Linked DNA regions of Rhinolophus ferrumequinum. The protein of the gene in region 1 purifies or fractionates together with the protein of each later gene. This does not show direct contact. Links are inferred from orthologs where the notes say so. Each region holds a gene or a part of one and is shown in the gene's direction. Other genes may lie near its edges. The genes, in order: POLR2G, CTDP1, RPRD2 and SCAF1.

Region 1 (7,845 bases):
GTATTTTCCAAGATGGCCCTGACAAGATCTGGCTTCCCACATGATCTTTTTAAAATATGACATCGTTGCTCCTTTTATAGGGTAAGGTCTCTCGCCTTGAGTCTGGGAGGGATTGCGACCTCGAGGGAGATGCTACGTATGTGACTTCTGAGGCTCAATCATAAAAGGGGATACAGCTTATGCTTGGTCCTCTTGGGACACTTGATCTTAGAACCCAGCGATGATGCTGGGAGGAAGCCCAGGCCATGCAAAGAGGCCACATGTAAGTGTTTCAACCACAGCCACAGCTAGGCTTCCAGCTAGTGTGCTTCCCTGAAAAGAAGACGTAGCCGGACCATCAGCTCTAATGCGTCTTTTGGAGCAAAAATTAATATAAGACCTGGTCTTATTTTAATACAAAACTGGGTATAACATAATATAATATAATTAATATAATATAATTAATATAATACCGGGTCTTATATTAATTTTTACTCCAAAAGACACATTAGAGCTGCTGGTCCAGCTAGGTCTCTGTCATGCAGGGAGTCACGCAGGGTCTCTGGTCCTGCTCCCCACATAAGAACGCAGGATATAGTAAGGCCAAAAAGGCACACCCACAGAGCCATAAGTAGGGGAGTCATATCACTATAGTCTCACTGGCAGCTGGGTTGGAGACACAGGAGGCAGGAGCCACAGAATCCGCAATCCACACTCCACTGTGCTAACTGTAATCCGCTCCTGCTCGCTCAGCCACCATCCTCTTGCTAGCCCCCATTTTCTGCTAGCGTAGCCACAGCAGTTATATTACTGGCCAATGGCTCACTAGTTACAGCTGACGGCCAACTAGACACAGCTGATGGCCATCCAATCACAGTTGATGGCCATTTGCTACCTGAGTGAGCACCTTTCCACGTGAGGCCGAGGGCCTACAAACTGCGCTCCAGGCTCTGTCCCCACACTCCACCTCTACAGGGTGTCGCCTCACAATCTGTGCGACAAGCGTCTTCCGCGAGGGGCCCTGTGCGAGGAGCCTGGAGGTGAATGCAATATCCTGGACACAGCCAGGCTCTCTGGGCACAGCCAGGGTTTCTCAGGGCACCACCAGTCCTTCTGGGCACAGCCAGACTTCCTGGGCTTCTTAGGGTACCACCAGCCTCCGTGGGCACAGCGAGGGCCTCTCAGGGCACCGCCACTCTCTGGGCACAGCCCGACTTCCTGGGCATAGCCAGGGCCTCTCAGGGTACCACCACTCTGGGCACAGCCTGACTTCCTGGGCATAGCCAGGGCCTCTCAGGGCACTGCCACTCTCTCTGGGCACAGCCAGACTTCCTGGACTCAGCCAGGGCTCTCAGGGCACTGCCACTCTCTCCAGGCCTCACAGGTTACCGTGCAGGAACAACAGCGACCCACAGTCAAGGTGCTTACATATTCTCGATAGTGGCCAGTCAAGACACAAACGCAAACATCCGCCAGTTCCACTACCGGGTGGTATGTTCCCAAGCAAACAGTCAAGCGGTCCATTAAATTAGGGATGGAAGGCAATTCCCCATAGTACATAGTCATTCGCCAGGGCTGTTGTCATGTGGGACGGCCTGTGGGGTCTCAGCTCGTACTCCCCACACAAGAGCTCAGGACATGGTGAGGTCAGAAAGGAACACCCACGGAGCCACAGACAGGGTAGCCACACCACCATGCTCTCGCTGGCAGCTGGGCCAGAGACACAGGAAGCAGGAGCCAAACCATCTGCAACCCGCCATCCGCTTTTCTGCCAACCATCCGACCCCACTTGCTAGCTGCAATCTGCCGTCCTAACTGCAATCCGCGCTTGCTAGCTTAGCCACCATCTTCTTGCTAGCCCCCATTTTCTGCTAGCGTAGCCACAGCAGTTATATTAGTGGCCAATAGCTCACTGGTTACAGCTGACGGCCAACTAGCCACAGCTGATGGCCATCCGATCACAGTTGATGGCCATTTACTATCTGAGCCAGCACCTTTCCATGTGAGGCTGAGAACCTGGAAACTGCTCTGTGGGGCTCTGTCCCCACAGATGTCCTGGGGGTGAGGGACGACCTTGACCTCACCCTCAGCTCCCATGGAGGACTCAGCAAGCGTTTCCTCCTGGAATTACAAGGCCTGCATCCAGGCTGCGTCAGCAAGCACTTCCCAGCCCACAGGGCCGCAAGGACCTTCGCTTTCTCCAGCCTATGCTGGTTGGGGAACCGTCCACGTCTTTTCACTCCTCCATGGGGGTCCAGCTCTCCAGCATCTGCTCCTCCTGGTCTTCCTGAGACTGAGTGTTCATTTGCACAAACTGCTCCGCCGCCCTTCGGAGAGCATTGGCCAGCACCGTACCCTGCTCACTGCGCCATGTGTCATGCAGGGCAGCCTGCGGGGTCTCCGGTCCTGCTCCCCATATAAGAACACAGCGTACGGTGAGGCCAAAAAGGAACACCCACAGAGTCATAAGTAGGGGAGTCATATCACTATAGTCTCACTGGCGGCGGGGTTGGAGACACAGGAGGCAGGAGCCACAGAATCCTCAATCCACACTCCGCCACACTAACTGCAATCCGCTCCTGCTCGCTCAGCCACCGTCTTCTTACTAGCCCCCATTTTCTGCTAGTGTAGCCACAGCAGTTATATTACTGGCCAATGGCTCACTGGTTATAGCTGATGGCCATTTGTCATACAGGGCGGCTTGTGAGGTCTCAGCTTCTGCTCCCCACATAAGAACGCAGGATGTGGCTAGGCCAAAAAGGAACACCCACGGAGCCATAGGTAGGGGAGTCATACCACTATAGTCTCACTGGAGGCTAGATTCACATGATGTGCGACCTGCTGTGCGCTTTTCTGCCAACTGACCGAGTCCCCTTGACTTGACTCACCAACCAGCGCAGCCGCGGCAGTTATATCAGTGGCCAATTGGCTAACCAGCCACAGCTGACGGCCAACCAGCCACAGCCAACGGCCATCTACTACCCGAGCCAGCACCTTTCCACATGAGGCCGAGAGCCTGGAAATTGCTCTCTTGGGGCTCTGTCCCCACACCATCCAATCAGAGTTGATGACCATTTACTACCCAAATGAGCACCTTTCCACGTGAGGGCGAGAGCCTGGAAACTGCACTCCTGGCTCTGTCCTCACAGTCTCTTTTTCGGGGAAACACGGTAACAACCAGCTTCAATTTGCCAGCCATGTGATTGAGCCAAGATTGGAAGTGGATCCTCCAGTCCCTTGTTGAACTGCCTCACCTGATGTCTCATGGATCAGGAGTAAGCCTTCCCTACTGAGCCTTGCCCAAATTGTAGATTTGTGAGCTCAATAAATTATTGTCGTTGTTTTAAGCCACTAAGTTTGGCGGTGATTTATTGTCCAGCAAAAGATAACTGAAACAATTCTCCAACAAACTTTCTTTGTAATCCAAATCTCAAGAGAGCTGATTATTCTCCATTGCTACTTTCCCTTTCTATTCTAGTTTGTCTCTGATCCTGAAGCTTAGCAAGCAAAAGGATCAGGGCTAGGGGAGAGTTTATCATGGCCAACCCATGCCTGGGGAGCTCAAAAAGATAGTAATATGTTCATTATTAGAATGAGGTTCAATCAACCCATCCTTGTTAAACTCCATTATTTGCAGAGTGCTCTGTTAGGTGCTAGAGATTGACTCAGTGATGTGAATAGATAGTGAGCATCTGTTGTGTGCCAGGTAGTGTTCTAGGTATTATGAATATAGAGGAACACCTGCCCTTCTTGAGGGGAAACAGGCAATATACACATATCTAAATGAATGAGTCCAAATATGACTAAGTTCAAGGAAGAAAATGAAACAAGGCAATACAATAAAGGAATGACTGGGGTGTGGCTACTTGAGTCAGGGTAGTCATGGAAGGCTTCTTGGTGGTGGTGATACTGAGCTTATACCTGAAGGATGAGGAGCCCCCTTCCGCCCCCAGCAGGTGGGTATCAGAGCTAAGAGCATTTTAGGCAGGAGAAATAGTAAGTGTGTAGGTCCTGAGGTGGGAGAGGAGGGCAATGTGGCTGGAGTGGAGAAAGCAAAAGGAAGAGAGGCAGAAAAAGGAGTTGGCTGGATCTGGTCCCTGCCTGGTAGGTCACAGTGATTTTATTCTAGTGCTCTGGGTAGCCATTGGGTTCTAAGTCGGGGGGTGACATGATTTGATTTCAGTTTTGAAACCATCACTCTTGGCAAATATGCACATGAAAAGATGTTCAACGTCATTAGTCATTACGGAAATGAAAACTAAAACCACAATGAGATACTACTACACAGTCATTAGGATAGTTAAATAAACAAAAACAAATAAACAAATGAACAAACTGCTGACAATACCAAGGGCTAGTGAGGATATCAGAGCAACTGGAACTCTTATACCTACATATACAATTATATAATATTTACACCACACAGACAAAATAGGTATAAATAACCTCAAGAGTATTGACAATGGCAAACTGTAGTAAAATGATTAGGAAGTGATCAGTTTTAAGTATTTATTACTAAGAATTCTGACTCCAATTACAAGGTGCTCCCCGCCACCCCCAACCCCTCCATCCAAGCAATTCTGACACCAGCTGGGTGTCCTACAATTTAACTCAATTTTGATACCATCTACCTGGAGTGGTAAATGAATGCACTCTGCTAAAGAGCTTTATTTATGCCACCTTTCATTAATTAATTAATTCCGTTTAAAAGTACTTATTGAGCATGTATTCTGGGCCAGGGACTGTTAATTTAAGAGAGCGGATTTTGATCGCTGGTGGACGGGGTGGAGGGCCGAGCTTCCTGGATTCCCCGCCCACCACAGTGAGGCCCAATCGGGTCCGTGGAAAGGGCGGAGTCCCGCCCTCTTAGCTCCCTCTGGTGGGGAAGCGGGGTTGCAGCGAAAGATTGTGTTTCCGGTTGAGCTGGAGATACCGCTTCCCGCGAAGGTGTGGACTCGGCTGCTCTCCTTCCTTCTCCGGGAAGATGTTCTACCATGTGAGCAGGGCACGGGGTGGCGGCGAGGGCAGGGTCGAGAGAGGACGAAGCGGGGCGCCGGGAAGAGTTGCCGCATCTTCCTGTTGCGCCTTGCCCGGTCTCCATGCCACTTTCCCCACAGATATCCCTGGAGCACGAGATCCTGCTGCACCCGCGCTACTTCGGCCCCAACCTGCTCAACACGGTGAAACAGAAGCTCTTTACGGAGGTAGAGGGGACCTGCACCGGCAAGTGAGTGCCGTGCTCTCTGTTCCACCTGATCTATGCATACAAGGCAACCCCTTCCCAACTCCTACTCATTCTGCAAGGTCCTGCCAATTACTCTGGGGAACCCTCTCACACACTCGTAGGCGCCCCAAGCAGTCTGTTGCTTCCTGTTTTGGGTTCCCATGGCGCCCTCTGCAAAGCTGGATCTCAAGATTTACTTCCCTCAGCTTAGATTGGTCATTCACTTACTCTGCACACGTTTCTAAAGCTCCTGCTGTGTGCCAGGGCCTGTGTTGGGCCCTGGGAACGATATAGAATGAGGCCAGCCGTCATGGAGCCCACAGTCCAATCATTGTTCCTGTGTCTGCTCTGTCTGTGATTCTCCTGGTTTTCTCTATCTCCATGCCCAGGGACTGGCATGACACATCTCTGGGCTACGCACAGAGGTCGCTCACACTGGTGTTAATGAGCTGGGATGAGACCAGGGCTGCAGACTACTTGGGCCGCCATCATCAGAATAACCTGTGGTATCTCTTGAACGTGAAATTTCCTGAGGCTCATCCCCTCCCCGCAGAATCAGGACTCTGGGGACGGGCCTGGGAATCTGCATTTTAATAAGTTCTTCCCAGGTGATTCTGAGGATCTCAAAGACTGAGGTCTCTTAGCTCAAGGACTGCAGCCTTATTGAACATGTATTGTGAAATTAGGAGAGCAGTGTTGGGCGTTATATATACTGATCATCCTGTCTTCCTTCTTGGTCGTTAGGCTCTCTAGCGTCAGGGATGCCATCTGCTTCCTCTTTGTACTGGCCCGCGACCCCCAGGTTCACTGAGTCTTGTTGCAGATGGCTTTATTTATTTATTTACTTATTTTTTATTGGGGAATAGTATGTACTTCCGAGACTTTTCCAAGTCAAGTTGTCCTTTGAATCTTAGTGGTGGAGGGCGCAGCTCACACAGGTCCGGTTGCTGTTGTTAGTTGCAGGGGGCGCAGCCCACCATCCCTTGCGGGAGTCGAGGAGTCAAACCAGTAACCTTGTGGTTGAGAGCCCGCGCTCCAACCACCTGAGCCATCTGGCCACCCGGGAGCTGAGCGGCAGCTCATTGACTTCATTCTAGTTGCGGAGGGCGCAGCTCGCTGGCCCGTGTGGGAATCCAACCGGCTGCCCCGTTGCCCAGAGCTCGCGCTCTAACCAACTGAGCTGCCCTCCCCCCCAGGCTGCCCCTGCAGATGGTTTTAGAAGCTCTTCCACATACAGTCCCTTTTGTTCTCATCCTCCTCACAGGTATGGCTTTGTAATTGCTGTCACCACCATTGACAATATTGGTGCTGGTGTGATCCAGCCAGGCCGAGGTTTTGTCCTTTATCCAGTGAAGTACAAGGCCATTGTTTTCCGGCCCTTTAAGGGGGAAGTCGTGGACGCTGTTGTCACTCAGGTCAACAAGGTGAGACAACAGATAGAGGAGGCAGGGGGGTGATCTCTCAGAAGATGGGGGATAGGTCCCAACTCCACTTGCTAAGTCTATGTCCTTTGGCTAAGTCATTTTTTTGTGCTTCAGTTCCCTCACCTGTCAAAAGGTGTAATAATTTCGCCCTGCCTCACTCAGGGCATGTAAGTCCATATTAATAGTCATAACAATAGTAGCCTCTGTTGATTGAGTAGTTATTGCAGGCCAGGTCATGTATAAAGCCTTACAGCGACTCTATAAGGTGGGTGCTTTTATCCTTTTTTGTAGAAGCTTAAACTGAGAGAAGTTAAGTCTAGTGGCCGGTGTCACATGACCAACAAGTGTTCAAATCCTGGACTGACAGGATTTGACAGGAGTCCCAGGTCTCAGCTCTTTACTACTTCACCATATTTGCTAAACTTAAAATGAAACTTGAAAAATGGGAAATGAAAACAAATGCTATAATTCAGAGTGGTTTCAAACATGGAGAAAATAATTAGAAATCAGATACAGGTGGGAAGCTTAGAAGACTTTGGGTAACAAAAGAAAGAGCAAGGGTCACTCATTTTCCTTCTAGGTTGGACTCTTCACAGAAATTGGACCTATGTCCTGCTTCATCTCTCGACATGTAAGTCTGGGCATTGTGGGTGGGGCCAAGGAGAGACACTCATTCCTGACCATCTACTGGAGCATCCATTTAAAGTGCTGACCCATTATCATTTTCCTTTCAAGTCCATCCCATCAGAGATGGAGTTTGATCCTAACTCCAACCCACCATGTTACAAGACAGTGGATGAGGTGAGTGGGTAGGAAGAAGTCAGTGAGAGGGAGGAGGGAACTAGCTGCTCTGAGGGAGAATATTGGCTGGCGGGTGTCTGAGTATACTGTTCCCATCTCCCAGGACATTGTGATTCAGCAGGACGATGAGATCCGCTTGAAGATTGTGGGGACCCGTGTGGATAAGAATGACATCGTGAGTCTCTTGCCTGCCTCCCTGACTGTACCAGGCAGAGCTAGGAGCTGTTCATTTCTTACCACCCAGAGTTCCTGGATGTTCTGTGCTCCTCTTCTGCCAGGAAGAGGGGATGGGTGGGCAGAAGGCCTGGGGCTGGGGCTTAGAGGATAGTTCTGTGCTGGCTTAGGCTTCATTTCCTTTTTACCTTCCCTCCTACAGTTTGCTATTGGCTCCCTGATGGATGATTACTTGGGTGAGTG
Region 2 (7,314 bases), on another chromosome or scaffold:
GGCTAGTGGGCTCCCAACCACAAGGTTGCCAGTTTAATTCCTCGAGTCCCGCAAGGGATGGTGGGCTCCGCCCCCTACAACTAAGATTGAACATGGCAGGCAGCTTGAGCTGAGCTGCCTCCCAGATGGCTCAGTTGGTTGGAGCGCGTCCTCTCAACCACAAGGTTGCCGGTTCGACTCCCACAAGGGATGGTGGGCTGTGCCCCCTGCAACTAGAAAACGGCAACTGGACCTGGAGCTGAGCTGCGCCCTCCACAACTAAGACTGAAAGGACAACTTGACTTGGAAAAAAGTCCTGGAAGTACACGCTGTTCCCCAATAAAGTCCTGTTCCCCTTCCCCAATAAAAAAAATTAATTAAAAAAAAAATCTCTTTACTTCTCCTGGGTCCGTGTTTCCATTCTTCGGTCTCACGAGACACGATCCTGGCCCACACCCAGAAACTGCCTGCAGATCCAACATCGTTTGGGGACTCAGAGGAAAAATATTCCTCCATCAATTCTATCACAGGCTCAGGAAACTCGGACGTAAGGACCCCAAGGGCACTCACAAGCTCTCTTCCCAATATGCCGTTCCCTGCTGTTTCTCTGCTGTTAATGTGTCCTCTTCCAGAGCCATTTTTCATTCCTTCTCACTGACCTGCCAAACAAGTGACAAAACCTGGTGGCTGTAACTCAGCAGCTCTCCCTGCAAACACTCCCCTCTGATCAGACAACCTCAGAAGTGGGGTCTTTATCTCCAGGTTCTCTCAGCCCTTAGCTGCCAGCATTGTCTTAAGCACAGATTAAATAAGCTCATACATCTGCTCAAAAACTTTTCATGACTACCCACTGCCTACCTTGCTACACATTCAAATAACCCGGTAAGCAAAACTCCCGATACTCAGATCCGACCCCAAACTAATTAAGTCAGAATTTTGAGGGATGGGACCGTGGTATGTGTCCTTTTTCAAACATCCCAGTACTGTTCCTTGGGGTTTTGCCACAAAGGACTCTTATTAAGGGAACGCACAGAACCTCAACCATGATGGTCCTCATGGCCGGAATGCCCATTTCCTCTTTACCTCGTGTCAAAACCCCACTCACCGTCTTCTTCCTCAGGTAGTCACTGCTGCAATAACACGGGAAAATGAATAATTGCAGATATCGTGTTTTAGAAGACATCAAGGCACTCTGGAGAATAAGAGGATGAAAAGAAAGAAAATCCCTGAGAGAGAAAACCTGTCCCCGGATAAACTGCCATCAGTGGCCCTTTTCTTCTCTCAACCATTCGCTGAGTATGGGCAGAGTCTGAGCTCGAGCTTGACAGATGGAGAGATTTGGCCAAAGGGGAGATAAGTCCTCTGTGTTGGCTTGTGTGATGGGCTGGACACAAAGGAGCCCCACATACACAGCTGCTTTTCCTCCCAGGACACTTGCTTAGTGCTGGGGAAGCATGTAGGGGTGGGGTTGTGGCCAGGCTTTCGAGACAGTGTGAAATGTACAGTTTGAGATAACTATGAATGAATAAATTCCCACCAGCAAGAGGGCCTGCTATTGCACACAAGAAGTCTTGCTTTCGAGATATTTGAAGCCAAAACTGGACTGAGCCAAACCTAAGACTCCAGCACAGCCCTGACAAAATCAATATTCTTGATTGTATTGAGGTGATCAGCCCTTCAACGTGTGTGCCCAAAGGAGAAAGGTTGAGGTGTTCTCTGTCTGTGCTTCTTCTATGCACGAGGTGTGGCATACTAATAATACAAACAATCCTGATACCTGTATCTTATGTTTTTGTGTAAGTTCTGGTGAGGGCACTGGGCCTGGTGAGCCAGTGCAAAAGGGAGGGAGGGAGACCAAGGAGTGAGTCCTGAGACGCTCCTTGGCACAGCACTCGAGAGGTGGCAAGAAGGCTTTTTGGAGCACAGCAAAATGGCCTCCTGAGGCTTCCATGACTGTTCAGGGTAAGTTTCGGGAGGGTAGCAGCTGAGAACTTGCAACTACCGCTAAATCTGAAAAAAGTATGTTTTTGTGACAGCTCGAGTGACCTGGGGGTGGTGACAGGGGCTGAGGTCCCCTCCTTTTATCAGGAAAAGGATTCAAGCATCACAAAAAAATGAAATGCCACCATGGCAAGGTAGGTAAGATAGGACATTACAGTCACCGTGTGGCTCAAGCATACAGAGGTGGGGAAGCGCCAACCACCTCATGGCAAAAACATGAAAATGGTGGTGCTGTTTTCTAAGGAATAGGGTCAAAATCACTTTAACAGAAAATATACTTTCACCAGAAGGGCTAGACCGTATTAATTCCAGAAAACGAAGCTCCTTTAAGCGAGGTGGACTTGCTTCTTGGATAACCAGAGAAAAAATCAGCAATAGCTCCATCTAGCTGGGCAGTGTGCCTTCCTTTAACACCTGCCAGGCCTGACGACCTGGGCTTGGAAAGGAGCTTCTGGAGAAGGCTGTATGGGAGGACCAGAGGTAAAGCCCCAGGTAACACAGGTGGGCAGAAAACAGTATTGACGTTGAACACCCTCTTCGGAAGCTCTGAAGTCCATGAGGCATTTTTTTAACACTCAGAGAAAATAAGTGAGGTTAGTTCTATTTACGTGTTGTAGGCCTACTCCTATTTTCTATTTCTTCAATTTCGGTATGTTTGTTTTTCTAGGAATTTTTTATGCATTTCACCTAAGTTATCTAACTTGTTGGCATACAGTTGTTCATATTATTCCCTTAGAATCTTTTTTATTTTTTGTGAGGTCGGTAGTGCTATTTTCTTTCATTCCTAATTTTGGTAATTCTCTCTTTTATTCCTGATCAATCCAGCTAAAATTTTGTCAATTTTTTAAAAATCTTTTCAAAGAACCAAAGAGTCTTTTTAATCTTTTGGCTTTGTAGATTTCCTCTACTGTTTATTTGTTTTATTTCTGCTTTAATCATTTCTTATCTGTTTGTTTTGGGTTTCGCTTTCTGATTTCTTACGGACAAAGGCTAGATTATTAATATTTGTTCTTAATCTTTAATATATTAGATATTTTAGCCACGTATTTCTAAGCATTGCATTAGCTGTAGCACACAAGTTGTAGTATATTTCTGTTTACTTTCAATCATAAACATTTTGCTGGTCTGATTTCCTTCGATACATTGGTTACTTATGACTACTGTTTAACATCCAACCAACTGTAAATTTCCCATGTTGGTTTCTCACTTAATGTCATGGTGCCCAGAGAAAAAGCTTGGTATGGTGTCAGTCCTTTTACACTTTCTGAGGATTGTTTTATGTCCTAGCACACAACCTGTCCTGGAGCAAGTTCCGCACGGAGGTAAAGAGAAGGAGCATGTGCTGCTTTGAGGATTCACAGTTGTTCCAGCCCGCTGTCCTTTCCGATCTTGCACCTCGTTGTTCCACCCGACGTTGACGTTGGGTATTGAAGAGCACAACTGCCACTGTCACTTGTCTGCCTCCCTGTCACTCTGTCAGTTTCTGCTTTCTGCGTCTGAGGCTCTGTCGCTGTGGCAGGTGCTCCGTCCACATTTCCCGGGGGCGGGGGGCAAGAGGGGAATTGCAGGTCTTTAATGGTTGTGAAGAATGCCCTTCAAGGAACCAAGAACGACCATTTCCATAAATTATCCCGCACTCAAAAGCGGCGAGAGCGCCGAGGTATCCCCACGCGCGGCCTCCGCAGGAGTGCGGCTCGGAGGGCGAGAGGCAGGGCCCGAGTCCGAGAACACCGCCAAACACATGACCTGCCGCGAGGTGCAGGGCCGGACGTCCATCGCCCTCTGACCCCTGCCTGGGCACTGGCATGCCAGGACCGCAGCTCCACGACGCCCGCTTTGCAAACCAAGACTCAGACTAATGACACCGGGTCTCAACACGTGATGGGACTGCCGGTCAGCGTCCGGAGTTGCATGCCGGGACTCGTAGTTCTCATGACGACCGCCTTAGCGCGCGAGGGGAATGTCGGACGGCGGCCCGCGTTGTATGCCGGGACTCGCAGAGCCTGACGGGGATACGGGGTATGGCAGTGCGCGGTGCATGGCGGGACTCATAATTTAACAACGCCCGGGCCTCAGCGCATAAACGGAGTTGTGGGACATTAGCAAGCGTTGCATACCGGTCACCTGTACTCATAGGGTAAACGGCGTAGGGACACTGTTCCCGCCGGACCCAGCCCCACGGGTTTGGTACTATGGCGCCTATGGTACCTGCGGCTGGCGCAGCGCCTCTCGAGGACAGTGCGGGCTTGTTTACACGCGGGCCGCACGGCGCACGCACGCACGCGACGTCACGTGACGTCATGCGTTGTCCCGGAAGTCGGCGCGGACCAGGGCGGCGGGTGGAAGCCGGTGTAGGAGTGGGAATCGCAGCGCAGCCACCGCCTCCGCCTGGGCCGGGGTCGCCCGCCCGCCGGCGATGGGCACCGTTGCCTGAGCACCCGTCTGCCGCATCTCCGCAGCGACCCCGCTGGCCGGGATGGAGGCGCCGCCCGCCGGCCGCGTTCCCGCCGAGGGCGTCCCGCCGGCGGCCGTGGCCGAGGTGCGCTGCCCGGGCCCCGGGCCGCTGCGTCTGCTCGAATGGAGGGTGGCGGCGGGCACAACCGTGCGCATTGGCTCGGTGCTGGCCGTGTGCGAGGCCGCCGCCTCCGCGCAGCCCTCCGGACCTGCTCCTGCTCGCGCCGGCTCGGGTGGCTGCGTGCGCGCCGAGCGCAGGCTGAGGTCGGAGCGCGCCGGCGTGGTGCGGGAGCTGTGCGCGCACCCGGGCCAGGTGGTGGCTCCCGGGTGAGTAGGTCGGGGGAGAGGGCAGCAACAGGGAGGGGAGGGAGGGAGCGCCGGGAGGGTTCTCTGGGCCAGGAAAGGGGACCGGCCCGGACACTAGGTAGGAAAGGGTCTCAGGGGCTGCGGCTGAAGGGGCTGCGCTCGGGGAGAACTTTGGAAGGTAGGAACACCCCCACCCCCCGCGGCTGCGCGGCTGCGTGCTTTTCTGAGGCTGCACAAGTCACCGCTTGTGATTTTTGTGTAGGAAATGGTTGTGTTCGTTTCTCTTCTGTAATCGCTGTCTCTCCCCAACACTCGGCATTTGTAAGTTAGGAAAACTCGGTGCGACGGCGAGTACTGGAAGAAGAGCACGCTCCGCGCTTGTCATCGCAGTATAAACAAGCTGTTGGGGCTGTCCTCTGCCTTAGGTGTCGGCAGCCTCGGGAGACGCGGTCGTAAAACCCGGCGGTGTGTGCAGCGTAGTTCGGGAAGGGGTGCAGCCGGTGACAGAGTGGTAGTGCCCCTCCTGCCACGGGCTCTAGCTGTGGGTGCTTATGTTTTCTCATGAAGGACTTTGCTTCCTCTTCTGAAGTGTGTGAACCTGTCTCCGCGCATACTTTCTGTCTGAGTTTACCGGGGTGGTGCTCTTGAGATCGGCTTGAAGTGTGGGCACAGGTGTGTTGTTTCATTGTCGGCAACAGGGAGCCAGGGCAGGGGGACATTCCTGCGCCCTGCTGTCGTGGCCGGTGCGCAGCTTCCTCGGCGGCGACCGGAGTGTGCCAGGTGCTCAGGCCCCTGTCCACCCTGGCGCTCCTCCGGTGGTGCTGCCTGCCCTGTCTCGGCTCCTCTCCGTGGGGCCTGCTCTCACCGTCCACCTGTTGAGTATCTCCTCCCTCCCGGACTCTGATGACCAGGGCAGGATGGGACAGGACCGTGCTCCATCCCAGCCCGGGACCCTCACCCTCGTCCACTCTCCCTCTCATCCCTTGGAGGAAGGTCCCTGGCCGTCAGCTCAGGCGCCCACGCCTGCCCCGTGGATGCGGGTGGGTGGGATGGATGCCACCTGGGAACTGCACCCTCACTGGAGCTGTGTGCCTGGCTTCCTGTAGGAGGGAGGGGCACTGTGCTCTGGGTGACACACTGGCATGCTGTCATCATTACTTTGAAGTCACCTGTTACCTGACCTTCGCTTGGGCGCTAATGAGCCTGTAAACGCACCAGCCTGTGAATGACGGAGACGAAGCCCAGTGCTGGTGCATCACCGTGTAGAAAACCCCAGAAGTGGAGAGGCTTCTCTGTGCCGCTCTGTCCCTCTGGTTGTACAGAGAAGGCCCCCGGGGCCCAGACAAGCTCGTCGGTGGGAAGCTCCACATGTAGTGCTGCGAGCGCATCAAGCTGGCCAAGCACATCCGAGTGACCAGTCAGTCCATTGTCTCCCAGTCTGCTGCATACCCAGTGTGATGACAGGTTCCCAGCTGTGAGTCGCTGCTGCTTTCAGTGTTTCAGTGTTTGAGCCTTGGGGTGCCCCACTGCAGGGGCCCATCACAGGCTCTTTGAGAATTTGGTGACTGACAGCGTTTCTCCTGGAATGTAGGTGTGAGCGAGCATTGCAGCTCCCGCGCAGAGCCCGGCACCCCTGGCAGAGTTGTTCGTTGTCACTGCCATCAGCAGGAGGCATCCTGGCCACAGTGGGCGGGGCTCACTCTCCACAGTGGACAGTTCTAGGAACTTAGGAATGCTGGCTTTCTACTGTACAGTTTCGCAGTGAGGACTTATGTTACTATTATTTGCCTTCATGTTCAGATTATCCCACCGTTGGTCAGTGGGAGCCCCTTCAAGCTGCCTCCTCCGACAGGGCCCCGTGTCGGAGCACCACCCTGCTTTCTGACGCAGTAGTATTCGGGCTCTAGCTCTCGCAGTCCCCGCCCTGGAACCAGCCATTAGGCCAAGAAGTGCTGTTTCCTTGTGATGGAGAATGGCATTTAGAGACAAAGAGCCGTATGCGCTGAGTTCCTTTTCCCAGTCCGCCCCTATCCTCAGACACTTCACGGTCAGCACAGATCCCTGATATGTTCAAGGAAGAGGGAGGTGGGGCCCACCCAGCCTAGTGTTTAACAGTGACCGCTCCCTAGCAGAGTTCAGGGCGCCCAGCCCCGACACTTCCCTTTCTGCTGTGGGCCCTCAGACCTCCCCATTACAGCAGACACGAAAGCTAGTGAAGACAGACATAGCAGGACAGTTTGGTATACAAGCAGGACTTGTGTATTTTGGGGGAAATAACTTGTTTGCAAAGCTCATTCATGATTTGCCTATGGATTTTCTTCAAGGACCAAGCAGAAAAGTTAACATTTATTGGTGACTGACTCGACATCCGGGTTGGTCTCCTTGGCTAAAGCGAGGTATTTTTGGACTCGGGGCACCACTCCCTTTCAGGTGCGGTGATACTCTCTGGAGGGTTGACAGAAGAGGTACTGAGACCCTCTGGGTACCTGAACCCGTCTGTCAGTATCTGCAGGGATGAAGCAAACAGCACACTCAGAGAGGACATTGCTCTCATGTCTTTTCTGATTACCTTTT
Region 3 (6,983 bases), on another chromosome or scaffold:
ACTCACAGATGATACACAAAATGTATGCAAGGCCAGTGCTACAAAACTATAAGAAATAGGTAGCTGTGATTGGAGAACTTTCTCTCCCTCATTTGCCCTACTTTGAAGTCATAACACAGGAAGTGGCCTACACATGACTATTGGCTGTCATTTACTACCTTGTGAATGTTATGATTCTCAGTGCTTTGCATCTGACTTGGGCTTTGAGAAGCAAATAAAAATAGCTTATATTTTATTATTTAATTCTACAAGTTACTCAATTAATCTTTAGCTATATCAAATGCCGAGAAGAAAAAATGTCAACAATAGCTAAATAAATATCTAGCAGCTAGTAATTTTCTCATGCCAAATAAAAGTTAAAAGTTCACTAAAATTTTAATATATTTTCAATTGTTTTACTTTTTCTGGAAAATAAGTTTTTTAAATTAAATGTATTGAGATGACATTAGTTAATAACATTATATGTTTCAAGTGTACAATTCTATAATATAGTATGTTGTACTGTGTGCTCACCACCCAAAGTCTAGTCTCCTTCCATTACCACATATTTGACCCCCTTTACCTTCATCATCCTCCTTCCACCTCCCCTCTGGTAACCACCATACTGTTGTCTGTGTCTGAGTTTTTGTGTGTGGGTTTGTTGCTTTCAATTTTTTATCCCATATGTGAGTAAAATCGTATGGTTCTTGTCCTTTTCCGTCTGACTTTTTTCCCCCTTAGCATGATATTCTCAAGATCCATCCATGTTGTGGCAAATGGCAGTATTTCATCCTTTCTTATGGCTGAGTAGTATTCCCTTAAACATATGTACCACATCTTCCTTATCCAATCATTCATTGTAGAAAACTTAGGTTGTTTCCATGTCTTGGCTATTGTGACTAATATTGCAATGAACATAGGGGTACATATATCTCTATGAATAAATGTTTTCAAAATTTTGGGTTAGATGCCCAGAAGAGGAATTGCTAGGTCATCTGGTAGCGCTATTCTTAATTTTTTGAGGAACCTCCATACTGTTTTCCATAGTGGCTGTACCAGTTTAAATTCCCCTGCGGTGTAGGTGGGTTCTTTTTTCTCCACATCCTCTCCAACACTTGTTATTTCTTGTCTTATTGATAATAGCCATTCTAACAGGTGTGAGATGGTGTCTCCTTGTGGTTTTGATTTGCATTTCCTGAAGAGCTAGTGAAGTTGAGCATCTTTTCACGTATCTGTTGGCCATTTATATGTCTTCTTTGAAGAAGTGTCTGTTTAGGTCCTCTGTGCATTTTTCTTTTAAACAGGACTTTATTGGGGAACAGTGTGTTCCAGGACTTCCAGGACTTTTTCTAAGTCAAGTTGTTGTCCTTTCAATCTTAGTTGTGGAGGGCGCAGCTCAGCTCCAGGTCTAGTTGCCGTTGTTAGTTGCAGGGGGTACAGCCCACCATCCCTTGCGGGAGTCGAAGAATTGAACTGGCAACCTTGTGGTTGAGAGCCCACTGGCCCATGTGGGAATCGAACCGGCAGCCTTCGGCGTTAGCAGAATGGAGCTCCAACTGCCTGAGCCACCGGGCTGGCCCCCGTCTGTGCATTTTTTAATTGGATTGTTTATTTGTTGTTGTTGCTGTTGTGGAAATATAATAGTTTTGAATAATTTTTTAAAAAATGATTACATTGCTGTTATATGTTTATGTAAGTTGTAATTTGCATATGTAAGAAATTACAATTTATGTAAGGAAAGTTTACTCAGCAAATACAGTTATAAAGTTGTTAAATATTAATAGTTTTAACATTTAAAATATTTAACTTAAAGATTTTAGTCATTCTTAACTGCATTGAATATAAAGAGTAAGGTCTGGGTGGCCAGTTAGCTCAGTTGGTTAGAGCACGGTGCTAGTAGCACCAAGGTTGCCGGTTCGATCCCCGCATGGGCCACTCTGAGCTGTGCCCTCCTTTAAAAAAAAAAAAAAAAGAGTAAACTTCATGTTTACTCTTGCAGAAAGCACAGCTATACACATTGTATTATACATATACAGATACACAGCATATCTGTAGCATTAAAATTTCACAGAGGTTGAGGGGATTAGGAAAAAATATCTAAAATGAATCTTTAGGGACAATGATAAGGAAAAAAAGGCTTTGAGAATTGCTCAGGTCAAAAGCCTTGGTGTCAGACTTGTTTCTCCCACACTCCCCTTAAATCCATGAACATGCTTTTAGGCTCTTCCCTCAAAATAGATCCAGGATCTGACACCACTTCTCATTATCTTTTTTGCACTCTGGTACAGATCACCATCATTTCCTTGCCTGGATTATTCCAACAGCCTCCTTAACTGGTGGCTCCGAAGTCTATTTTCAACATAGCAACCAATGTGATCATTTAAAAAGATTGCCATGTAACTTCTCTGCTTAAAAGGACTTCCCATCTCATTTCAAAGCCAACATCCTTACAGTGGCTTTGGAAGGTTCCACACGAACTCTCTCCCTTCACTTCTCAGACCTCATACTGTACCACTTGTCCCCTCTCTTACTCTTCTCCAGCCACACTGGCCTCCTTGTTCTTCCTTTAATATGTCAAGACATTCTGTTTTAAGAGCCTCTGCACTTGCCGTTCCTTCTGCCAGCATGTTCTCCTCCTCCTCTCCGGTATCTGCTTGGTTACCTTGTTCTCGACATTCAGATTGACAAGGAGAAAATTCTGAGAAGTCCTAAATTAAATTATAGCAGGCCAGAGAGTGGAAGGAAGAGACAAAAAGGGGTTAATCAGGTAACCACGGCAGTGCAAAACCAACAAAAGACTGCTTACACTGCCTTAGTGTGTTTTGGAATTATTAAATTAACTTCCAGGTGGCCATTTCCAGATTATCTAAAAAAAAAGAGAATAGCTAGGCTGCTACTGAACCCCAGGGGTCTCTGTTTCTTGTTTATGCATGAGTTTTATGGACTCTCTTGGGCCTATCCCCTTTGTCTATAGCTAATGTAAATTCTTTCAGAATGGCTTATAAATTTCTCCTCCCTACTCCATGTGTAAAAATGCCTGCAAAACTCAGGGACTTGGACATGTTATCCTTCCTACCTAGCTATGTTGCTGGTGGTTTAGACTCCACGCCCCAAAACCTGTCTTCTTTTTTCACCAGCAATGGGCTAATAAACTCTTTCTTTTAAAAAGGCTTTCAGCCATGAAGTTCAAAATTTTTTGTTTAACAAGATAAAGTGTCACTTCCTTCCAAAAGCCCTTCCGATTCATTAAACCACCATTCCCATGCCCATCTAGGATCACCCACACGATACCGCCCATCTCCCTTACTCTGCTTCATACTTCTTAATAGAACTTACTACTCCCTGACATGTATTTGGTTATGGTCTCCTGACACTAAGCCCTAGAGGGAAGGAATTTTTGTCCGTTTTCCTGTTACTCTATCCAACAGGTAGAACAGTGAGTGCTTGGTTCAACACGTTCAACAACTTTTTGTTGAATTAATACTAGATATGAGCTCGAAAAAACAGATTCTCTGCCTCAAGAAAAGTGAGTCTACTGGGGTGACATAAAAGAATTGAAATATAATAATTACATGTGTTCAGTTGGACACGGAAGCCTCCAAATCTGCCCAGAGGATTTACCTAGACAGATGTGATAGAATGATGCTAATCAATATTACTTAAGGCTCTTGTAAATTATAATGTATTGTACAATTCTGAGATTGTGCCGAAGGTGAGACCATATCCTGTCTTTTATCTTTTACTCGTCTCCAAAATTTTACGGGGAAATTTTCGTTTCACTTAATTTACTTCCTCTTCATATAATCCAAATAGTCAAGCGGCTATGAATGGTATGGTCCAAGGGGACTGTGAAATGTTGCTTCGTCTGGGAGTCTGCGTAGTGAATGGCTCGCTGGAGCTGGCGCATGCGCACCTGTCAGAGGCACTGCAAGATGGCTGCCAGCCACTTGGTCGAGCGTCGGTGCCCCGAGGAGTCAGCAGCGGCGGCGGCGGCGGCAGCCGCCAGAAAGTAATAGTGGCCGCTGAGCGGTGGGAGTTTCCCGGCCTTGTTATGTGATCTGGATAGCCCCAAGTGAGAGACCTCGCTGGGAAGCAAAAGGCGGGGCGGCGGTGTAACCCCCTCCCCCAACCTCTCCTTAGTTTGACCAGTCCCCTTACCCTCCCCTCCCCGCTTTTCCTCCCAGTCCGCTACACGCGGAGGTGCTGCGCAGGCGCACAAGTAATTGAAGCGCCTCCTCGGCTCTAGGGGTTTGCGGGCTCCTGCGCGCGCTTCTCCTTCTTCTCCCTTGATTGGTCAGATTGCCCCGCCATGACACCTCCCCCTGCTCTCTAGGTTGAGAAGGAAACGGGGGGCGGGGCCAAGCGGCGCGTGCGCGATACTGTTGCTGTTCCTTTGCTGCTATTGCGTTGCAAAAAAAAAAATCCTGACTAGGTAGCCTTGGGCCTTTTCTGTACTAGAGGATCTAAAGGAGAGAAAAAGATTTCTGCAATCGAAGGGGCACTCGGGTAGTATTAAATTTAAGATATTCACAGCCGCCCTAACAGGAGTGTGGGGATAGGAGTGGGAAAGGGCCTTAGCGTAAAGAGCGCAAGAGTATAAAACCATTAGTTTGGGGCCAGCCGTTTTGAAAGGCTTTGCAAGGACCTGTTTTCTGCGTAATTCTTGCCTGATTACTGACTAGTTTACACACAACCCCTTGAACCATTCTGATAAACCTTCGAAACCCGCAGCCCCTCCTTGCAGCGTGCTGGAGCCGCCAGCGTGCCTAGCAGCTGGCCTGCCGATCCTACCTCCAGAAGAGCCTAGCGCGTGCACCACCCCCACCCCCCGGCCTCCTTCCCCACCTACGGCTTTCACGCACTCGCAGTGATTGTTTTGCCCGCTCCCGCCGCCGCCGCCGCTGGCGCCGCTGCCGCCGCCGCCGCCGCCGCCGCCGCCGCCGCCGCCGCCAGAGGAGCAGCAGCGCTTGTGCAAACCGGGAAGATGGCGGCCGGCGGCGGCGGAGGCAGCAGTAAGGCCTCCTCCTCGTCGGCCTCTTCGGCAGGGGCTCTGGAGTCCTCGTTGGATCGAAAATTCCAGTCGGTAACTAACACCATGGAATCTATTCAAGGCCTGTCGTCTTGGTGTATAGAGAACAAGAAACACCACACTACTATCGTCTACCATTGGATGAAGTGGCTCCGGAGATGTGAGTGTTGGGGGTGCCTAGGGGAAGGGAAGACCGGGGAAATGGAAGGAAATACCGCCCGAATCGCTTGAGGTTTTCCCATGGAGCCACTGCATTTGGCTGGGGTTGTTCACAGTAAAGCTTTGACCCGAGTGTTCCCAGACCCAGACTCCTCCATTCCTAGCCAGGGTTTTCCTGAATTGCGGGAAGCTTAGCATTTCGTGGATATGTAGCCACTGACTTGGTGTGACCTTGGGCCGTTGGCCCCAGATCTATAGCGATTTACACATTATGTCTTTTCAAAGCCTCGTAAGGTACCGTTGACTTTACTGAACCTTCACGGAAATTGTCGCGTCCGTTCGTTTCTTCTATAGGCCGTGAGGTGTTAATGATTTCTGGTTTTCCTGATGCTAGACAAGCTCTGATCTAAGCACCACTAGTAAATCCAACTATTTCGCTGGAATATGTTGGACCACTCTGTTTTCTACTGACCTGAAACTTGGGATGTGTAATAAGAAGGGTTTATCTGGGTGAATGTTAAACAACGTGTGCTCCACATAGAGCTGAGGCGACCACCTGGGAGGTTTCCCTGTTACCTGTGTTTGCTGCAATGAAATACAGGCTTCTTGATAATGACCGGAAACTACTGTATGTAGTCAAGTATTGTCAATAATACCTTAAAATGAAAAAAAAACCCACATCCGACTACTTTTTAATCACTTGAAATACCTTTTTAAGGAATTGAGTTTGGTTTCATAGGTAATAATCAAAACAGGAAATCAAGAAATGAGCTTTTTGAATATATAGTACGCCCCCTCCCCCCAGTTATTACTTTTTTGCCTTCGTGGGGCAGTTTTTCCACTTTGCTGCTTTACTACAGAAAAGAGGTCTAGTAAACTGTCAGGAAACGTGGATGGTGTGCCAAAGATCTCAAATCTTCTAGGAGGAAGTGTGGAGAATTCACTGTTGCTTCCTGCTGAGAAGAGAGGGTTAACTTTCTTCTCAGGGATTTTTGAATTTTAGGTCTTTTGTTGCTTCTGTATTTGAATTTTAGCTCTTTTGCTCCCTGACCATGGCTTGTCATCAGTGATACCCGTCATCCAGTTGTTCTTATTCCACTTCTGCCATGGCCTCTGAAGTGTTTTGATTTGTGTTTACCTTTTAGGGAACAGATGGATAAAACTTGCAAAATCATAGGCCCCAAGCTTTCAACCATTTGTATATGTAAAGTTATTGTTGGGAGAGATGTTTTGTGGCTCTTTGAATAATAAATGCTCAAAGGGTTGTAGAACCAAGACGGATTACCTTTATTTACCAATAGCAGATCAAAGTTACTTTCTTTTCAAGAGGTAAAATTAGAATATATAAAATCAAGTATGATAACAGTCCTCAAAGACCCTTACATATTAAGTACCTGCTATGTACCCAGCCCTTTACTGTCATTTATAATATATCTCCTATCTGAAAATAACCCTCAGAAATAGATTTTTAAATCATTGGTATAGAGATGGGGAAACTAAGGCTCGGGATATTACCTAAATTGCTTAAGATTACACAGTAAAGTGGTGGAGTTAGGATTTGGCTTCACCATATCAGATGATATCAGATGACAGTGGCCACATTTAACTTTGTAAAAGAACGTTCTCAAGATTACTCCTTTAATGCGCTTGGTCCACCAGTGGGAGCAAGCAGTGTTCATGTGAGCCTGAGGACATGTTTTCCTTAAACATAGTCTCCTTCCTGTTTTAAAACATTTTTTACTAAATTATGCGAGCATTTAACATTTTCTACCTTTGGGCTCTGGTGCTTTACCTGTATGGTTACATCATTTGCAAG
Region 4 (7,872 bases), on another chromosome or scaffold:
TTTTCCCCCTCCTCCTTCCCCCCCCCCCTCCTTGGGCGGCTTTTAGTGTCTCCTCCCAGGGGAAGGTCCCAATTCCAATCCAACTGTGGAGAAACTGCCCCGCCCTAAGGCTGGGCCCCTCCCTTCCTGCGTCCCGCCCGCCTCCAGCCAGGCCTTTGGACAGCTTCAGGTCTGCCCCTAGGGACAGGGGCCTAGGGACGGGGGGCCTTTCTCTACACAGACAAGGGCTGCCATGCAGGCCTGGCTGGGGTCTCTTAATGGGTCTGGGACCCAAGGGCCTCTGCAGTAGCGTCTCAGGAGCAGACACCTTTCTAGGGTTTCTCTGAGGTGGGAGGGTGTTCCCCTTGGGAATGGGGTGGAGGTTTCCTGGGCAGGGGTGGATTTTAAGTGGAGAAGGGGAGATATGGTAGTTGGGGGTCTGAGGGCTGCATCCAGTCTTCTGGAGGTGTGCTTGTTGAGGCTTGTGCTGGAGGGAGGGTGTAGGGACCAGGCCCTGGGGGAATTAGGGGTGTGTATTCAGAGCACCTCAGGAGAAGGTCAGGTGTGTCTAGAGTCTTAGAGACCCTGACAGGCATTTATGGGGTCAGAGACACTCCCAAGGAGTGGATCTTTCTGGGGATATCAAGAATCTGGGGGCTTCTTCCATGGAGATTTGGGGGCTAACCAGAGTTTCTGAGAGGGGCTCAGAGAGTTGGAATGGAGGAGAACTCAAGATGGAGGAGTGGTTGGTTTTCCTTGGGGGAGGGTAGAGGTCTGGGTCTGGTAGGATGGGGGAGCCACAAGACTTGGGGGTCTTACAGTTCTCTGGAAGAGCCAACTGGCAGGATCTATTTGAACTCTCCTAGGGTCTGAGGGTGCCTCTTTTAGAGTGGTCCCAGATTGGCCTCAGGAACAGTCTGGGCATAATTTCTAGATTCAGGGAGGTCTCTGAAGGAGCTAAGCATCCAGACTGGAATCATCTCAAGGGCTTTGGGCACAGGCTTTCTCCTAAGTTAGGCTCTGGGTGGCTCAGAAGGGAAGCTGGAGCCTAGGATTTGGGGGAGATGGGACTCAGGGTGAGGGAAAGTGGCACCTACGGGCGGACACACGAGAGTGTTTAAGGTCAGAATGTGGTGACATGGATTTAGGATGCTCCCAGGAGGTGATCTGGGTCAGGTCAGCAGGGAAGGGGGGTTCTGGCAGGAGGGACGGTGGGTCTCAGGATGAGTATAGGAGGAAGGTCCCTCATGTAGGGGGTGGAGGTCCTGGGGCGCTCAGGGTCACGATCTGAGGGGAATTTTTAAGATTAGAGGGCCTCATAGGAGGGTCTCAGTGATGGATGGAGGGGGAAATCGGGGTCTCAGGGATCCCCCCCAAGGGCTACGTTCTGGGTCCCGGGGACACCCCCCGGGTGAGGGCCCACTACCTGGATGAACTGGATGGTCAGCGCACTCTTGCCCACGCCGCCGCCGCCCACGACCACCAGCTTGTGTGTCTCGCTGGGTGGGGGGTCCCCAGGTCCCGGCCCCCCGCCCCGGGGCCGCCCCCGCCCCGTCCCGGACGCCGCCCCGCTGCTCATGTCGCCACCGCTGCCGCCGCCGCCGCTACCGCCTGGGGGGAGCCGGGCGGGGCCTAGGGGCGGGCCACGCTAATAAGGCTACTGCATAATCATGAGCTCCGGCAAGAAGGGCACAAGTCTCGGAACACTTGAGGAGGTAAGGCCAGGGAAAAGGAGGAGCTATGCTAATAAAGGCAGGGGAACGACGTTCGCCACTAAGGGGAATTCCGAAAGGGGTGGGGATATGCTAATGAGAGAACTGTGCTTACCCAGAGCTGCTCCACGCGCTCTGGGCAGGCGGGCCGTTTGGGGGCGTGGCTATGCTAATAAGAGCTCATTCTTTCGGCAGACAGGTCGGGAAGATTATTCGGGGAGGGGATATGCAAATGAAGAATCCTGTGAAGCAGCTTCTCAGGGCACTTTCCCCAAGGCCTTGTTCTAGTAGGCGGGGCTCGCCGACTCGCGCGCGGCCGTATATAGGCGCGCTCCGAGGAAGTGAGCAGGTCCTGAGGGGAAGCTCCACCTCCGTCCTGGGATCTGAGCCAAACTGCCGACCCGGGCGTTTGGGCTGGATGTTGGAGTCTCCGCCCGCTAAGGGACCCAGGCTTCCGGTTGCCGCAGTCCCAGCCAAGCGGAAGACAGACTGGGAGGGGAGTTGGGGCCCTGGAGGGGGACAGCCGGGTAACGGGGCAGGGAGGGGCCGTGAGATCACTGCATTCCTAATCCATGAGCCAGCTCGCCCAAGCCGGGACGCCTGGGTCATGAAGGGCCTAGAGCCAGGATTTCTGGATCTTTGAAGAAGGAAACTCCGTAGGAGAGAACTGGTCTGGAGACCTGGAGTTCCGTATCCCGGAGGGGAGGAGATCTGGGGGTCCTTACTATTAGGACTACCCGTTTCGTAAAGGAGGGAGCTGGAAGTCCAGATTCTTGGGTCCCGGGGTTCGAGGCTCTGGGAACCCAGAATTCTGGATCTCGAGGGAATTGGTGTGGGGAACCCGAACACTTGTGTTCATGTAAAGTACGAGCTTAAGACCAGAAATGGTCTGAGGGAGGAAAAGCCTGAGGGCCCAACTCCTGGATATAAGGAAGGAGGAGGGAAATGGGAGTCTGGACTCCTCTGCCAAGTGAGAGGAATCGGAATTTGGACTTTTCGGACCTAAATGAAGGAGGCTGTGGGGCAGGGCTTCTTGGTTCTAAATTTAGAGGGGACTGGGGGGGATCGGGATTCTGGGATCCCCACAATGTGGGCGGGACAATTCCCAGGCAGGACAGCTTTTTTTTTCCACTACTTACTCCGCGGAACTACAATTCCCTTGCATCTGTCCGGCTGAGTGCTCTTTACGTCACGTCCTGTTCCGCAGCTCTTTCCGCGCGTACGCATGGAATTGTGGGGCCTCATCGCGGGCTACTGCAACCACGCCCACTTCACCTCTCACCTCCTTGCTGCGCCCGCGTGACGGAGGCGACGCGCGGACTACGCCTCCCGGCGCACCCCTGCCCGTGTGGCCCGTTGACTTCTGGGAAACTGAGTCCGGAGCCTTCCCACCAGCCTTCACGGCACCGTGCTCGGTACTTGAAGTCCCGGCAAGCTCGGCGGCGTTTTAGCTCCGCCCCTCTCCTCCCTCCGCTAGCGAACCCCCCGCCCCAGCCCGCCCCGCCCCGCGCCGGGGCCGGAGCCGCAGCCCGAGCGGCGGGGTAAGATGGCGGCGGTGGTCCGGACCGCGGGGCTCAGGCCTATTGGGGTGGGCGGGGCGGAGTCGGGTCGCTAGTAGTCCTGGGGTCCTCTCCAACACGCCACAGGGTCTGGAGGACTTAGCGGGGTGGCCTCTGGCCCGGCAGCGGCGGCGGAACCTGGCGCCGAACGGGGGGCCTTCTCAAGGCCCTGGGACGTGTCTCTGGGTGCCGGGGGCCACCTACGGAGCATCCCCGGGAGAACTGGGAACGTCCACAGGGTCTGGACCGAAGCTGGCGCCTGCCCTCCATCATATAGCCGGCTTGGGTCATCTCTGTAGGCACTGTTGATCGTCTTTATGGGTTGACCGGAGGCTAGGGTCTGTTCATAGGGTTCTGGGGCCAACCTGAGATCTTGAGATATATCCCAGGGGTGAAGGAGGTTTGCAAGAGCTGAGGAGTTTCTGCAGAGCCATCTATAGCGCCTGGGGTATGTTTGTTGGGGCTGGGAAGTGTCTACATGGGCTGACGTGAGGATGCCACTCAGCTACCTGGGTCCGGGGCCGTTTAGCGGGCCTGAAAGAACTTCCTGGGTTAGAAAGTCTTTTAGAGGTGGGATGTGCTCACCAAGGGAGGGAGGCAAATATTGAGATGTGCTGAGAGGTCTCCATCATCTGGGAGGTGTTTAATCTGGGTGACAGGGGGCTGGGGCAGTTAAAAGGACCTGAAATCATCTAGGTGGCTTTGAGTGTGCCTGCAGCAAATTCGAATGCCGTTTGGGGCCATATAATCAGATGGAGAATAAGACAAAGGAGAGTATTGGAAAATTTGCTGAGCTCAAGTGTATTTGCACTTTAGAAGGTAATTGAGATGAAAAATATTTTAAAATTTTGTGTTGCCCTGGTGTTATGGCAAGAGTTCGAATTAGCTTACATTAGTCTGGGAAAGTTTATAGAATCATCTAGTACAATGCTTTTTAAGCTCTTTTGACCTTGATCTATAGCAAGAAAATATACATTTTTCATTGAGGCCCAGTACCCACCGACATGTATTTAAGTTAATACCCATGTCCCATTAATTGATATTTCCACTTACTACTTGCGATGTATTATGAATAATTTTCAGCATCTGATTTACTTTTTATAACAAGCTATTTGTGAAGCAATATACTGCTGTCAGACTCTGTAGTTTGAGAATGACTGATCTAGAGAGATCTAGCAATGTCTGCAGGGCCTTCTCATATGGAAAAGACCCAAGGAGCCTTGGGTGTATCTGCAGAGCCTGGGGCATGTCTGCGTGGGCAAGGGAGCATCTTCATACCTGCTGAGGGTTTGGGATCTGTGTGTTTGTAGTCAGACCTTGGTTAAGCTTCTGTTATGTGACAGTCACTGTAATTTGCGCTTTCTACCCCCACCCTGCCCCCAGGTGCTGGTGAGCAGCTCCAGGGCTGGAACTGTCCTTAGGGCCTTATCAGGGTGGGTGTCAATGCGAGTTAGGGAAGGAACCTCAGGCTCTTAGAGAGCTGGGAGGCTGCATGGAGGAACTTTGGCAAAGCTTGAACATCTGGTCCAAGGGAGACCAGGACAGAGGACTTTTCTTTGCAGGTATACAGCTGGGGAAGTTGGGGAGACGGGGGGGGAAACCTGGGCCCTAAAGACTAATAACGATTATTATTATTACTCTGTATTGAGTACTGGGTTATGCTAACACTGTGGCAGAAGTGTCTCCTTTCAATTTCTCGCAGCCTTCCTCTGAGGTAGATACTCCAATTCTGCCACATACAGATAAGCACACTGAGTTGGGGGTTAGGGATTTGAAGCTTTCTAGAAACTTTGAGACTGGATATTGTTTCAGAGTAGCAGATTTGATGGTCGCTGGCAATCCCACAGCTGAAATATTCCTGTTGTTTGAAGCCCAATTAAGACAACCCCCAATCTGAAGGATGACCTTTCAACTTTAGTATAATCTATGAATTTTTGTGATATCGTAAAGGCTTTAGCCATGCTTCCACACAATGGGCAGACAGGACATAGGCAGATGTCCCCAGGGGTTCTGGTGAGCAGCACACCTTTCTGAAATTAGTGTTTTCATTTCAAAAGTGGCATGTTGGTTTTGTAAATCACGTTATCATGGGTCCACTTTCTATTGTATATATAAATAAATTGTTTCTCGTTCCTCACCATCGAGGAAGATTGATGCTTTAGGAAGTTGTGTCATATTTGAGATACACCCAGCACACTGGCGCATACCTCAGTTTGGGAAAGCTAGGTGTATGAGACTATGGAGCACACTATTTGAAATCACAACTCAACAGAAAAAAATCTTGGCATTGTGTTGGCTCCCATGAAAGTGGGCCAGTGAGGTCTTAAGTTTGGTTGTGGGGGAAACGGTGGGAACTGGGGGGTGGGGTGTTGAAATAGGCTGGGAGGGCCTCCCTTCCAACAGAGGAGGCAGCTGAAATCCAGACCAGGGGAGAGAATCGCTCTAGTCCCTCTGGTATCTGCATTGGACCCAGTACCCTCCCAAGGACCGGGATGAGTGGCGGAGAGGAGGGACACTGAAGAGGATGCTGATTGAGGCAATGGTGGAGGCCTTTGAGGTCTTTGTGTTCGTCCTCTGCTTCTGTCCCCTCCACACCCCACACCCCACCCCACAGCCCTGTTTGTCTGAACTCCAAACTCACCCCCTCAACTTCCAGGTGACCATGGAGGAAGAAGATGAGTCTCGAGGGAAAACAGAGGAGTCGGGTGAAGATCGGGGCGATGGTCCCCCGGACAGAGACCCTACGCTTTCTCCTACTGCCTTTATCCTGGTGAGGCTGCTAGACATCTGGGGCCAAGGGAGGAGGGGCTGGGAGTCTGGATTCCAGGGCCCGACTCCTGGGCCTTCGGGGGAGGCGGGGCTGGGAGCCTGCACTCTTGGCTCCTCTGAAGGGTTTGAGTTTGGCTGTAGGGTGTCTGGAATGCCTGTCTCCCAGGAGTAGAGCTTGTGACCATTTGCACGAGTCCCCTGACTGCCACCCTTTCTTTCCACCCCCTTCACCCCCATCTTTTCTCTAGCGGGCCATTCAGCAGGCTGTGGGAAGTTCCCTGCAGGGGGATCTGCCGAATGATAAAGGTATGATGGGTTCTGGTTCCTCTTAGCTCCCTGACCCATCTCTGCATTCTTTATCCCAATTTCATTCATATACATTTTTCTGAGGCCTCCTGGGTGCCACTCTTGTGCTGGCATGGGAGCCAAAAATGGGTCAAACCCCCCGTGGCTGCCTTGGAGGGGCTTACAGTCTGGTGGAGAGAGACACGATCACGGCACAGAGGTAGCCTGTGGTACCGTGAGACGGCAGGAGGCCCAGCTAGGTTAGTGGCCAGAATCCAGGAAGGCTTCCTAGAAGGGGCGACAGGTGAACTGCATCTCTTAAGGACGTGTTAGAGTTGTCTGGTAAAAAAGAAGGCCTGATAGGCAGAGACGAGCACAGGGGTGCACTACAGGACTGAACTGAGGTTCTTAGGGGCTGGCGGGCAGCAGGCGTGAGGGGACACAGGAGAGGTTTGTGGGGACCGGCTCACAGCCTGGCTCGAATGTCGAGCTGACTTGTCAGGACTTCATCCTGAGGGCAGCTAGGAGGACAGAGGGGTGAGGGAGCTGGAGCCTCAGAAGGGCATCGAGGAAGTCCGTCTGGGACCCGACTTAGGAGTGGATGGAGGCTGGCAGAGCAGGCAGGAGCGTGGTTCCCTCATCAAGAGCTAGGGCAGGCTCCTTTTTTCTCTGCCCCACAGGGTTTCTCCACCTAGGTCCCTGTCCTCAGTCCCCCATGCAAATCTCTCTCTAGATGGCTCTCGGTGTCATGGCCTTCGATGGAGGCGCTGCCAGAGCCCACGGTCAGAGTCCCGTTCCCAGGAATCAGGAGGAACTGACACAGCTACTGTGAGTAAGGAGGGAGCCAGGGGAGGAAGGGCATTGAGGCGTGGATCCCGGAGATGGGGAAATGGGGCTGGGCACTCATAGACGCCTGAGTCTGGGGTGCTGATCAGGAGCAGTGTTGGAGGGCTTGGGGGCCGGGCTCTGGGTCCTGGAGGCAGTCAGGCCGAGGGAATTGGTTGGATCCCTGCATTTTCTTAGGAGGTTAGGGGTTGGGGAAATGGGATTTGTGGGTCCTCACATGATGAGGGACAGGGTGGAGCTCCTCCTCCCTATTCCAGGTGCTGGACATGGCTGCGGACAGCTTCCTGGCAGGGTTGGTGAGCGTCCTGGATCCTCCAGACACCTGGGTTCCCAGCCACCTGGACCTGCGGCCTGGCGAGTGAGTTGCTGGGTAGCTGGACTGGGAGAGCCCCTGGTTTGGGAGCTGGGAGCACCCCTGAGGCTCACTCACCCCTTCTGTCTTGCAGAAGCGAGGACATGCTGGAGCTGGTGGCTGAGGTCCGAATCGGGGACAGGGATCCGATCCCTCTGCCGGTGCCCAGCCTGCTGCCCCGTCTCAGGGCCTGGAGGACGGGCAAAACAGGTATGTGGGACGAGGGCAGAGCTGGGCAGGCGGCGGCCTTGGCTTTGTGTGCGAGACAGCTGTCATTAGATGTAATAGTGATAATCGTGCCATTTAGACAAACTCTTTTTATTTTTGTGTTTTTTTCCCTATTTACACTGCAGTAAAGGCCACACATACA

What was found.
Region 2: the proteins of POLR2G (region 1) and CTDP1 purify together in Homo sapiens (affinity purification with mass spectrometry; 4 studies listed by BioGRID and IntAct, counting the BioPlex papers as one, with this or other methods). This does not show direct contact. The link is inferred for Rhinolophus ferrumequinum from reciprocal best matches to the Homo sapiens genes POLR2G and CTDP1.
Region 3: the proteins of POLR2G (region 1) and RPRD2 purify together in Homo sapiens (affinity purification with mass spectrometry; 3 studies listed by BioGRID and IntAct, counting the BioPlex papers as one, with this or other methods). This does not show direct contact. The link is inferred for Rhinolophus ferrumequinum from reciprocal best matches to the Homo sapiens genes POLR2G and RPRD2.
Region 4: the proteins of POLR2G (region 1) and SCAF1 purify together in Homo sapiens (affinity purification with mass spectrometry; 3 studies listed by BioGRID and IntAct, counting the BioPlex papers as one, with this or other methods). This does not show direct contact. The link is inferred for Rhinolophus ferrumequinum from reciprocal best matches to the Homo sapiens genes POLR2G and SCAF1.

The regions. Positions count from the first base shown.
Region 1 is NC_046294.1:8,066,137-8,073,981, reverse strand, and holds the start of POLR2G (DNA-directed RNA polymerase II subunit RPB7), read left to right. Parts: upstream 1-4,838; 5' UTR 4,839-4,963; coding exon 4,964-4,975; intron 4,976-5,096; coding exon 5,097-5,206; intron 5,207-6,467; coding exon 6,468-6,627; intron 6,628-7,207; coding exon 7,208-7,258; intron 7,259-7,362; coding exon 7,363-7,428; intron 7,429-7,531; coding exon 7,532-7,603; intron 7,604-7,804; coding exon 7,805-7,838; intron 7,839-7,845. UniProt on the Homo sapiens protein: Core component of RNA polymerase II (Pol II), a DNA-dependent RNA polymerase which synthesizes mRNA precursors and many functional non-coding RNAs using the four ribonucleoside triphosphates as substrates.
Region 2 is NC_046302.1:60,190,662-60,197,975, forward strand, and holds the start of CTDP1 (RNA polymerase II subunit A C-terminal domain phosphatase), read left to right. Parts: upstream 1-4,456; coding exon 4,457-4,761; intron 4,762-7,314. UniProt on the Homo sapiens protein: Processively dephosphorylates 'Ser-2' and 'Ser-5' of the heptad repeats YSPTSPS in the C-terminal domain of the largest RNA polymerase II subunit. This promotes the activity of RNA polymerase II.
Region 3 is NC_046305.1:50,692,003-50,698,985, forward strand, and holds the start of RPRD2 (regulation of nuclear pre-mRNA domain-containing protein 2), read left to right. Parts: upstream 1-3,982; 5' UTR 3,983-4,963; coding exon 4,964-5,168; intron 5,169-6,983.
Region 4 is NC_046298.1:44,727,423-44,735,294, forward strand, and holds the start of SCAF1 (splicing factor, arginine/serine-rich 19), read left to right. Parts: upstream 1-4,857; 5' UTR 4,858-5,774; coding exon 5,775-5,807; intron 5,808-5,906; coding exon 5,907-6,020; intron 6,021-6,267; coding exon 6,268-6,325; intron 6,326-7,037; coding exon 7,038-7,132; intron 7,133-7,407; coding exon 7,408-7,508; intron 7,509-7,596; coding exon 7,597-7,712; intron 7,713-7,872. Other genes in the region: RRAS (ras-related protein R-Ras), read right to left, coding at 1,406-1,558.